Rattus norvegicus: one gene and its partners. The protein of the gene in region 1 interacts with the protein of each later gene in a biochemical or structural test. Links are inferred from orthologs where the notes say so. Each region holds a gene or a part of one and is shown in the gene's direction. Other genes may lie near its edges.

The links. The genes of interacting proteins can lie anywhere in the genome.
Region 2: the proteins of Ubxn2b (region 1) and Ppp1r11 form a complex in vitro, tested with the Homo sapiens proteins (2 studies listed by BioGRID). The link is inferred for Rattus norvegicus from reciprocal best matches to the Homo sapiens genes UBXN2B and PPP1R11.
Region 3: the proteins of Ubxn2b (region 1) and Ppp1r7 form a complex in vitro, tested with the Homo sapiens proteins (2 studies listed by BioGRID). The link is inferred for Rattus norvegicus from reciprocal best matches to the Homo sapiens genes UBXN2B and PPP1R7.

Annotation. Positions count from the first base shown.
Region 1 is NC_086023.1:24,111,213-24,114,862, forward strand, and holds part of Ubxn2b (UBX domain-containing protein 2B), read left to right. Parts: intron 1-659; coding exon 660-810; intron 811-2,100; coding exon 2,101-2,184; intron 2,185-2,857; coding exon 2,858-2,967; intron 2,968-3,650. UniProt on the Homo sapiens protein: Adapter protein required for Golgi and endoplasmic reticulum biogenesis. Involved in Golgi and endoplasmic reticulum maintenance during interphase and in their reassembly at the end of mitosis.
Region 2 is NC_086038.1:1,605,167-1,608,916, forward strand, and holds the start of Ppp1r11 (E3 ubiquitin-protein ligase PPP1R11), read left to right. Parts: upstream 1-1,416; 5' UTR 1,417-1,617; coding exon 1,618-1,689; exon of another isoform or gene 1,690-1,994; coding exon of another isoform or gene 1,995-2,006; exon of another isoform or gene 2,007-2,056; coding exon of another isoform or gene 2,057-2,065; intron 2,066-3,244; coding exon 3,245-3,353; intron 3,354-3,723; coding exon 3,724-3,750. UniProt on the Homo sapiens protein: Atypical E3 ubiquitin-protein ligase which ubiquitinates TLR2 at 'Lys-754' leading to its degradation by the proteasome.
Region 3 is NC_086027.1:101,332,563-101,336,307, forward strand, and holds the start of Ppp1r7 (protein phosphatase 1 regulatory subunit 7), read left to right. Parts: upstream 1-934; 5' UTR 935-996; coding exon 997-1,048; intron 1,049-3,534; coding exon 3,535-3,663; intron 3,664-3,745. UniProt on the Homo sapiens protein: Regulatory subunit of protein phosphatase 1.

The DNA of each region.
Region 1 (3,650 bases):
CAGGGCTGTAGTAGTTTCCACTATTGCTTTGTGAGTGTGAACTGGGAATTGGAGGAGAAAGTATGGGAAAACAAAGCATGAACTCTGCACATACTGGAAGCATGTCTGTTTCTTCATTGATTCAATTTTCTCAGTATACTAGGCAAAAATAAAATCAATCGAAAGAATATTAATCTTAAGTGGATAGAAATGTATGTTTCATAGCACTTAAGTTAGAGTCAGGGCAGAGATCTTTGTTACTACACAGAGAATATATGAAATTATTTACACTGGGAATTGTAGTGCAATTTTTTAATTCAAGAATCTCCAAAGAGTAAAGCTTCTTGTGTAATCATATGTGCCTGGTAAATGGCTTCCTGTAGATGAGTGCTTCACCACAGCAGTAGAAGACAGTGGTCTGAGAAAGTAGAATTTCCTAGGCAGACAGGGTGAAGGGAGGAGGCAAGGACCCCGTTACCATGTTGCTAAAATTGTTGGACTCTGCACAGACTCAGAAGGGATACAAACTGTCCCATTTGAGTTTCATTTTAAGGTTACACCTGAAGAAGTTAGGTGAACTTCTTTATAAATGAAAGTTATTTCATAAAGCTATGTAGCTTCTTATTTTAAATAGTTTATGTCTATTGTGCGTTTGTATTTATGAGCTCTGATGTTTAAAGGCTTTATTCAGGTGATCAGGAATATGGTGGATTACATATAGCTCAACCTCCAACTGGGAAAATTGTGAACGAACTTTTCAAAGAGGCAAGGGAACATGGGGCTGTCCCTCTAAATGAAGCCACAAGATCTTCAAGTGATGACAAAGCTAAGGTCAGTGCTGTCTTAAACCTACAGTGTTTCTGGGAAGTTAGGAGGTGTCTACACACAGCCTTCCTGATCCTTTTGGCACCCACTGTTATGGCTGTTCTCCGTGAGGCTCGACTCTAGTCTTTATTTGGCAGCAGCTGGACAGCTTCCTGCAGTCAAGCCTCTAAGTTATCCAGTTCTGTTAGAAAAGTATGGGTTTGATTTAGTTTGTAAAACGAAGTGAGGTTATAATTAAAAGTGCATTTGTGATGAAAATGGTAACTAAAAGAAGAGCCAGTTCTCATATTATCCTAAGTGTGACCATAGCCAGTTTGCTGTAGTTAATCAATTGTGACCATAGCCAATTTACTGTAGCTTAGAAAAAGGCTTGAAATGGAGGCCATCACAGAAAACAAATAGGCACAAATGCTGAGATCAATATGTTGTGGTGAGCCCAACCCCAACAACTACATCTGCATCACAGCCCCGGCACCTGTGACTCAGGGAACATCAGGGAAGAGGGGGCCAAAAGATTGTAAGAACCAGAATTCCACGGAGTCTGCTGTGAAACATTCTGTCCTAGAAATGGCTGCTTAACCTAGACTGCGTCAATGGCAGTGTCAATGGACACATTTACATGGAGGGGGAATTTCATGGGTCATACTCCTGAGAACTACAGACACTGATGACTGCTGGGAGAGGGAAATCAACTCTCTCAGGGATGAGCCCTTTATTGGTTGTCCAATACAGTGATTACCCTTGAAATCATATGCATACTATTAACAAAAACATTCAGTGTATATATGTATAATGTTTGCGTATATATACATTATATAACAATGCATGTATGTAGCAATAATAAAAAAGGTTATCAACTTGAGAATGGGGGTGTGGGAGGAACTGGAGGGGAAAGTGACATAATTTCTATTTTAATTAAAACCATTAAAAAATTTAAAAGCCTATTAAATACATATAGAATTTTTTGTTGTAACAGTTATTTGTATGTGTCCACATGTCCACAACACACATATGGCAGACAGAGGACAACTTGCAAGAGTCCGTTCTCTCTACCATTGTGGCTTCTGGCAATCAAACTACGTTATTTCATATTTTGAGTTACTGATGTTTTTATGAGAAAATATTTAACTTCTCACACTTCTTTCTAACTCAAGGTCTTATTCCAATATGTTTTCCTAGTCAATATGAATTTGGTCAGTTATTATTTGTCTAATGTGTCAAGTATAAGAATAACATTTTGAGTGTCAGCCGTGGAGAACTCTTAACCCATTTCTACCCATTTGTGGTGTATTTTAGTCATTTACAGGTGGAGGGTACAGACTGGGCAGTTCCTTCTATAAGAGGTCAGAGTATATCTATGGAGAAAATCAGCTGCAAGATGTATGTACCGCCCCAAAATGGTCAAGCATTCCCTCTAATGCTACTTTTCCCCCTTTCTGAACTTAACACTTGACATTAAATATACTCTCGCTTATTCGTTTTCAAAGCATGGGTTGAAGCCAAACTCTGTTTCTATCTGCTATGTCTTACGTTTAGAGATGTATAACTATTTGTGGCAGGAATATATAATTCTTGTAATTCTTTTTTAAAATTGTATACCTTCATAATACAAAATGAGTACAGTTTTAAAAAAAAAGTGAAACCATTATTTCTGTTGACTTTGGAACGTTAAAATAATAATTTTTTAGATTTTGCGAAGGTCTGCCTTGCGCGTTGTCCTGATGTTTAAGCTGTGCAGAACAGGAGAGCTTGGGTGTGGATGAGTCACAGGAGCCAAGCAGAGTCCATCTTCTCACTGTTTGTTTCCTCAGTGAACTCTGAGCAACTGCACAGAAGCCAGGCTCCTCCTGTGGGACTTTGATATTTGCAGCTTTTATTAGTGTTTTAAGCTAAAAATAAACCTCTTAAGTAAACACATGAGCACACATATTTAGCTTTGAATAAAATATCTTCATATTTTAAGATAAATCAATCAGGTAGTAATTTGGGAAATACCACACTGAAACTTAACATCGCTTGGAGATGAATTCTTCTCTTTTTTGTACCTCCAAAGGTTCAGATTTTACTGAGGCTGTGGAGCAATGGTTTCAGTTTAGATGATGGAGAACTGAGGCCTTACAGCGACCCAACAAATGCTCAATTTTTGGAGTCCGTTAAGAGAGGGTAAGAGGAATTATTTGTGTTTTGTTTATCATGTTGAATGGAACTATTTTAGTATGTGCATGCATGTTCCTGTGCCTGTATATGTATGTGTACAAGTGCATGTGGGGACCGTAGGTCAACCTCAGTGGTTTTCTCACTTGCTGAGAATTTGACAAATAGGCCAGACTTGGTTGGTCACTGAGCTCCAGGGTCTGTGACCCCAGTGCTGGGTTACAGGCTCACACCACCACATCCAGCCTCCTTATCTACGTTCTAGAGGCTATCATGCTTGTGTGGCAACTATTTGACTGTTTCTCTCTCTCTCTCTCTCTCTCTCTCTCTCTCTCTCTCTCTCTCTCTTTCACTGTTTTGTATATACTACTAGCTTTCAAGAATTAATTACGGTGACTTATTACACAAGTGATTTGGGGGAGATGGATCTTTGTGGAGAAAGGATATTAGATGATTGAATATCTTTTACCTATGATGACACTATGGGCTCTGCTCCAAGAAATCTCTCTTTTTTTCTTAAAGATTTATTTATTGTATGTATGTGAGTACACTATTACTCTCTTCAGACACACCAGAAGAGGACATCGGATCCCATTACAGATGGTTGTGAGCCACAATGTGGTTGCTGGGAGTTGAACTCAGAACCTCTGGAAGAGTTGTTAGTCTCCTAACTATTGAGCTATCTCTCCAGC
Region 2 (3,750 bases), on another chromosome or scaffold:
GCTGACTCAGACAGATACAGACACCCACAGCCAAACAGTGTGTGGAACTTGGGGACTCTTATGGAAGAATAGGAGGAAGGATTTCAAGCCCAGAAGGGAATAGGAACTCCACAGGAAGACCAACTGAGTCAACTAACCTGGACCCTTAGGGCTCTCAGAATCTGAACCACCAAAGATCATACGTGGGCTGGACCCAGACCTTCCCCCACGTATGTAACAGATTGGTTGTCATGTGGGTCCCAAACAACCGAGTGGGGGCGACCCCAAAATCTGTTACCTGTACATGGAATAGGTTCTTTTAGCTGGACCGCCTTGTCTAGCCTCAATGGGATGGAAGGCACCTAGCTTGAATGCCAGGGTGGGATACCCAGGAGGGCTCCCACCAGCTCAGAGGAAAAGGGGTGAGGGGATGGGAGAAGGGTTGTGAGAGGGACACAGTGAGCAGGATATAAAGTGAATAAGCAAAAATATAAAATTTAAAAAACAGAATAATAATGTATTGGGTGGTGGTAGTGTAGGCCTTTAATCTCAGTACATGGGGAGGCATAAGTAGATGAATCTGAGTTTGAGGACAGCCTGGTCTACTAATCGAGGCTAGGGCTATACACAAAGAAACCCCGTGTCTGGTTAAAAAAAAAAAAAAAAAAGGTAAGTGGGCTGCCAGGGTACAACTTGTAAAAGCTAGGAGCTTACAAATTAAAGGCCTTTTTTCACGTTTGGTCTCTCAAGCACAGTAAGCCTAAATGTAAACCATCACAAGGCCAATAAAAAAAAATAAATAAAAAGCGAAACCGGTATACATATGATACATATATCCTATCTAAATTTAGTTTCTCATTGTAAGGAAACAAAAACTGGAATTTTGGGACGGATGGTGAAAGATTCAACAGAACTTAACCAGATGAATTTGAATTTTTCACTCTGCCCCCTGCATCTAGCCCTTGCATTCTTCAAACAGAGAACTAAACAGCAGTCTGGGTGTTTCACACTTTTATCTTAGGGCCTACTACAGTCGAATAATTTCAGGTTTAGTGTACCCTCACTGAGATATCAACAAACAGGGAGAGGACTAGACCCCAGTGCATTTCCTGCTCCCGGAAAACCGTTTCTCGACAGAATAGTAAAATGGAATTTGGCCGAGATAGAGTCCCTGTCCCACCTATTTTTTTCACGCTCAAGGATACAGCAGGTAGGGGAAGCGTCGTGGGCACAGAGAGCTCATCCCCTGTGCCTGCAGGGTTGACCGGCCAATGAACTTAGGCCCTGGGCCGCCTGGCCCCACCCCACAATGACGTAGCTTCTGCTAACCTTAGCGTCTGCGCTCTATTGCATTACGGCGGAACTAATCTGATGACGCCTGTTTTGGCCCGAGCGGTGCTGGGGAAGAGAAACTGGGTTCTGCAGGATGCGTCACACCCGGAAGTGAAAGGCCGGAAGTGGGGTTGGACAGGTTTTTCCCCAGGGGTGGGGAAGCAGAGGCCCTGGAGGAGTAGGGGAGATTAAGAAGCCAGAGCATCCTGGCCTCTACTCCGAATCGTGTACCGGTTCTCTTAGATCTCAGAGGCGCAGAAAAAGGGAGGGGTGTCTCATCCTGGTTCCTCGCTTTTCGCTTTAGCCATGGCGGAGGCAGGAGCCGGGGGGCTGAGTGAGACCGTCACTGAGACAACGGTTACCGTGACAACCGAGCCCGTGAGAAACGCGGGCAGGGGGGCTGTTTAGGGGTCTGGGAAGCACTGGGAGGGGGATGGGGGTCTGGAAAGTTGGAGGGTTTGGGATCTGGGACCTGTGGGGTTTACTCTTACTGGGAAAATCGGAAGTGACTAGAAATGCTTGGAGCGGCTCAGATGGTTCAAGTGACTCGTCAAGGATTGTTTAATCTGCAGTTACAATTAGAGTATAGGTGTTACGGCTTGGGGTGGTGGTCTGTGTACGTAATAAACGGAAACTGGACCAAGGAAGGTACTGGAAGGAAGCGAAACGCCATTTGAGAAAGCATGGTTTTGGAGGCAAGCGTGCAGAACGAGTACTTACCAGTAGTGCTCGCCAATAGATAGTCATGGAATGGGTGCGTGTTAAAGCGGAGGGAGGGAATGAGGAAACAAGAAAATAAGGTGAAGGTAGTATTTTGACATATCAGAGAGGAGAGAAGCAAATGAGCAAACAGCCTTTGCAAAACCAAATTGCTTTCAAAGGGAGAAAGATGCGCTGGGTCTAATAATGTCTGGGTTGAAAGGGGCTTAGTTGTTTAGTAATTATTACCAGAGATGCCAGGGTGTTAAAGAATAAGTGAATACGATTAGGGAGCCCTGGGCTTGAAGATGAGAGAAGAATGAAGGCTCTCTTTGTAGGAGGAGAATTTTGGATATTTGTTTTATTTTGATGTGTGTGGATGTATGTAGCCTGAAGTCAATCTCAAATGTTTCTCAAGCCTGGCATAAGTTTGTTTGTTTCTTTCTTTCTTTCTTTCCTTCCTTCTTTCCTTTCTTCTTTGATACAAAATCTTTTTTTTTTTTTTTTAAAGCTGGCCAAATAGGCTAGACTGGCTAGCAAGAGATCTGCCTTTTTCCACTTCTCCAATACTGGAATTACAAACGTGCACCACCATCACCACATCTGACTTCTTGTTGTTGTTGTTGTTGTTGTTGTTGTTGTTGTTGTTTTCTTGATTTTGGGAGATCAAACTCAGGTCTTCATGCTTGCAAAAAAAGAACTTTACCAACAGAGATGTTTCCCATCCCTGCTTGCTTTCTTTCTTTCTTTCTTTCTTTATCTTTTTTTTTCCACAAGAAAAAAGCTTTACCAAGTTGTAGAAGCTACTAAATGCTTGGATTACATGCCTTCAATCTCTTTAGAGCGAACATGAATCAGAGGGGTGGAGAGGAAAGGGAGGTCAAAGATCAGTCACAGGAAAAGGGGAAAATAACAGTCCTACTATTCATATCACCAAGGGTGATGTGGAAGAGGAAACAGGGAGCGTTGTGTCCTGCGTTGCAGATTTGCTGGCATCTACCCTAGGTTAAGAATTGTCTTCCTTGCATACTATTGGTTATCGAGAACAGGAGTCCATACTCCCCACAAACAGGCTAAACACATGTCCTTTTTTGACTCCCAGCACCTGGCTCCTCCAGGGGCATGGTGCGTGCTACTGACTGAGCCACAGATGACAAAAGAGGAGGTTCCATGGGAAACGGGAAAAGTCAAGAGGAAGTGAGCTAGATGGGCCCATACCTCTTTAACTTTGCAGGAGAATCGGAGCCTAACCATTAAACTTCGGAAACGGAAGCCAGAGAAGAAGGTGGAGTGGTCAAGTGACACTGTGGACAATGAGCATATGGGCCGCCGCTCATCGAAATGTGAGTGTGTGTGTGGGGGCGGGGGGGTCCAGCGGGCCCCGGCCACCATCTCTGATTCTGGTGCTTTACAGCCCCTCAAGTTCTTGGTTGGAAAGAAAACTGGGTGGGAGTCAAACTCTGCAGAACCAAAGCCTGGGGGTGGGGGCTGGGGGAGCCATGGCAGCATGGAAGGCAGGTGCCTCCAACTCTCTGAGGAGACAGGACTCATAGGTACCTGAGTACCTGGGGAGGAGGCTAAGGCAGCTGGATTCCAGGAAGTAGGAGGAGACAGTGGTTGAGAGAGGATTTCTGAACATACATGGTGGAAATGAGACTGACCGGGCACTATGTTCTTCATCCTTCTTAACTGGCGTCCTCCCTCTCCGTGCAGGCTGCTGTATTTATGAGAAACCTCGGG
Region 3 (3,745 bases), on another chromosome or scaffold:
GGTTACGGCTACTCCACCTCGACGCAGAACTGAGCCACGCAACCACCCGGGGCTCCTTAGAAAGCTGGTGTCTCACCTGAGGCCGGCGCAACTCTCAGCCGGATTCACACCGTAAAGATCCGCGCGCTTCTGCCCCACCGACCAATCGTAGGCAGAGTAACAAGGGGTCAAGAACCAACCAGACACCTTGATGGGCGGGCCTCAGTGAAAGCAAGCTGCTGAGCGCGCGCAAACGGTTGCTAGGGACGCGCTGGACGTCCACTACAGTGCCTCGGAGGAGCCAAAAGAAACTGGTTTCTCCGGCCCCCTCTCACCCCTATCACGCCAAGTGACTGCAGTTCACTCCTACAGCGGAACCGAGGACGGTGAGCGACGTGCAGCCCTCCTTTTGGCGGCCACATTCTCAAGGCGAGGACGATGAGCAGAAGCGGACGATAAGGTGGTTCTCTGTGGGCCGGAGGCGGCGAACGCGCGCCCCCGAAACCGAGCCGTGGCCTCTCTCCCCTTCTCCAAGCATCCGCTAAAGGCAGCACTTGGCGCCAATATATCAGCGCGCAGGCGCGGAATAAACTGTTCTCCCTCGCCTACCTGCTCACGGTGCAGACACACAGCATTGAGGCTCCGGAAGTCGGGGCATGTCTATTCTGTTTTACCTTTGGCCTGTAGAGCTCTCCTGGCCTCAGTAACTTTACGCCTCCGAAGTCAGCACAGTGACTTGAGCGAATCTGCAAGCTTGAAGTGTCTCCCATGCTGCCTGATGACTTTCCGGGATGTCTACGTTCGCCGTGCTCGCCTAGACTCCACTCATTCATCAAACCCCTAACTCGGGGGGGGCCGGGCCCTGGGGAACTACAATTCCCATGAAACACTGCGACCACGCAAGCGTGTCAGCTCGCGCTTCTATACTTTGTTCCATTGGCTGGCCGACTGGACCTGGAATCCTGATTGGCCCATGGCCTGAGGCGACAGATTCCGGAAAGGGGAAGAGCAGCCAATATGGCGGCGGAGCGCGGCGCGGGGCAGCAACAGTCGCAGGAGATGATGGAGGGTGAGCGGCCCCTGTGGGCGACCCGGGAGCGGCGAGCTGGGGGCTGGGCGGGCACGGCCTCTAGTCGGATCGGAATTCGGCCTCCGGCCACAGCCACGAAGCTCTGACAGCTGCCAACATGGCTGGGCAGTGCCGGGGAGGCTCGGAGACGGGAACCCCGGCCCGAGAGCGGTAGCGGCCAGAAGGACCATACCCCGGGGAACAACGTGGCGCGAGCCCGCCCAGGGGGATTGGCGAGAAAGCCGTGGCTATAGGAACCTGGTCTTAAAGCTCCGAGATTGACAGGCGAGGGGGCAGGGAAACTGAGGCTTCAGGCGTGGGGACTGTAAAGTCCAGTTTGTTCACGCGGCATGGATGGAAAAGAGTCTGCTCTGGAAGCGAATGGGTTGTGGCAGAGGGTCGGGTAAAAAAGAGCTCCGGAAATTGATTTTACAAGGCGTTGTCTTATTTTTCTATAGTCTCGAAAAGACTATATTCAACTTTCTTCCTTCAGTGTGTTGGATTATGTCATCGTATACATGTGTAAATACACATGTAACACATGTATATGCTTTTGTATACAGTTGTGTAGATACGTGATCGTTACATGCATGTATGTGAGTGTATGTATTCACACAGACTTGTACATATGTACATGTACTTGCCCCACCTGCTGTAGCATTAGGCGAATCTTAAAAGCCTTTGAAAGACTCCTCTACTTCGGTGAGGATCGCTCACTTCTGGAAGATCACTCACTTTTCGGGGAAGAGTGCTAGGAAAGAGAGTTGCAGAGCAAGGGACAGGGATGTGGAAGAGAAGAGCGGTGAGTTTGAGAGCAGTGATCCCTTTCTGAGATGGGCCCTGAAAAATGACTAGACGTCACCCAGCCTGGGGTCACATGGGGAAGACCAGTATCATTCCAGAGAAAGGAAACCCAGTCAAAAGCAAAGGCGTATGGAAACATGACCTAAATAAAGTCATGCAATGGGGAGTAAGGAGAGCCAGCAAGGCTGCCCAGAGAAGTTCTTAGAGAGACTTGAAGGGAGTCATCCTAGAGGTCTTTTGTTTCTAACCTTTGACTCTTTCTTAAGTGAGGAAATGCTTCTTCTGTCCCCCTCTTCCCTCCTCCAGTACACCTCTCCCCTCCCTCCTCAGTAAAGGGCAAATACAAAAGCCAAGCTTTTCCTCTCTTCCACTCCCACACATGTCATTACCAGCTGGTACTTAGGTTTCTATGGCCCTATGTCTTTTTGGAGATTCGGAGGGTGGGAGTGTTGTTTGGTTTGGTTTGAGAGCCTGGTTTGGTTTGGCCTTGTTGTTGTTTTGTTTTGTTTTTAAAGACGGCCTGTGCGGACCAGGCAGAGCATGTTTTGCCACCTTCTCTATCACTGCTAACCTTTACTCAAGCCTTCCTCCTCTTGATAGAGTTCATTGCCTTTTTGCTAGCCTGTTATACCCAGAGCCTCACAGTCACATTCTTGCACATTATCTCAGGCTCTGGAAGCTTTCTACTGCCCTGAGGATACAGGCACAGGGTGCACCCACTCTCCCTTCTATCCTCTGGCTCCTCCTGAGGGAGGTACAGAGCCTCATTTCCCTAACCCCAGATCACAGGATGTCCTCTTGGTAACTCATAAATTCTCCTACATGCCATAGGCATGAGCTACTACTGTTGTGCCCTTTCTCATTTGGTCCTGAAAGGGGAGGGTACTCTACTAACTCTTCTACAGAGATGAATATCAAGGTTTAGAAAGGATGATCATTTGCCAAAGCCACATCTCATTGCTGCTTTGTTCATAACTCGAAATCTGTTTATTTACTCCAAAAACACTTTGCATTGTTAACTCTGCCCTGTGGTGGTTTAACACCAGCAGTTTGCTGGGAGCATCTGGCGTTTTTGAGACCATCTCATTTTCATTCATTCTGCCCACTGTCTGATTTTAGCTGGTCTTGATTTCTTTTTTTTTTTTTTTTTTTTTTTTCTTTTTTCTTTTTTTCGGAGCTGGGGGCCGAACCCCGGGCCTTGCGCTCTACCGCTGAGCTAAACCCCCAACCCTTGGTCTTGATTTCTTTTGGAATGTGGGGCCTGAAAATTGAACCAGTTTTCTTGGCCAAATGGATAGTGAGACATCAATGAGGGTATGTGGCAGAAGGGTTCCTCTTGTGGTGGACATAACGTCAGATATGAGAGCCGCCTGGAAGGAACTTCAGTACCTGGTGTCAATAGTGTTCCCAATCGTAGATGATCCAGATTTCAGAACACTTGTCAATTCTTGACAAGCTCTTAGAGGGGAAGAATGACATATTAATTGTCTTCATGTGACCTCCCAGTTTCTGTCCCTGTATCTTAAATATTATTGGATGTGGAAGACATTCAAATGTTCATAAAATGAGTTCAGCTATTTTAGAAAAAAGGCTTGCTGACTTACAACTGTTGTTAATCTCTTTTGTGTTCCTCAAATTGTCACATGAAGTAGATGTGAATTGTCACTGATGTGTGGGTTCAGTTGACAGGCGTGTTGAATCTGAAGAATCAGGTGATGAGGAAGGGAAGAAGCATGGCGGTGGCATCGTGGCAGACCTCAGCCAGCAGAGCCTGAAGGATGGGGTAGAACGGGGCGCAGAAGATCCGGAAGGTACTGGGTTTAGTTACTTTGAACTCACCCAGCAGGGCAAGGGTGCTGTTGAAGAATACTGCTCTTTGTACACGGTGTCTCC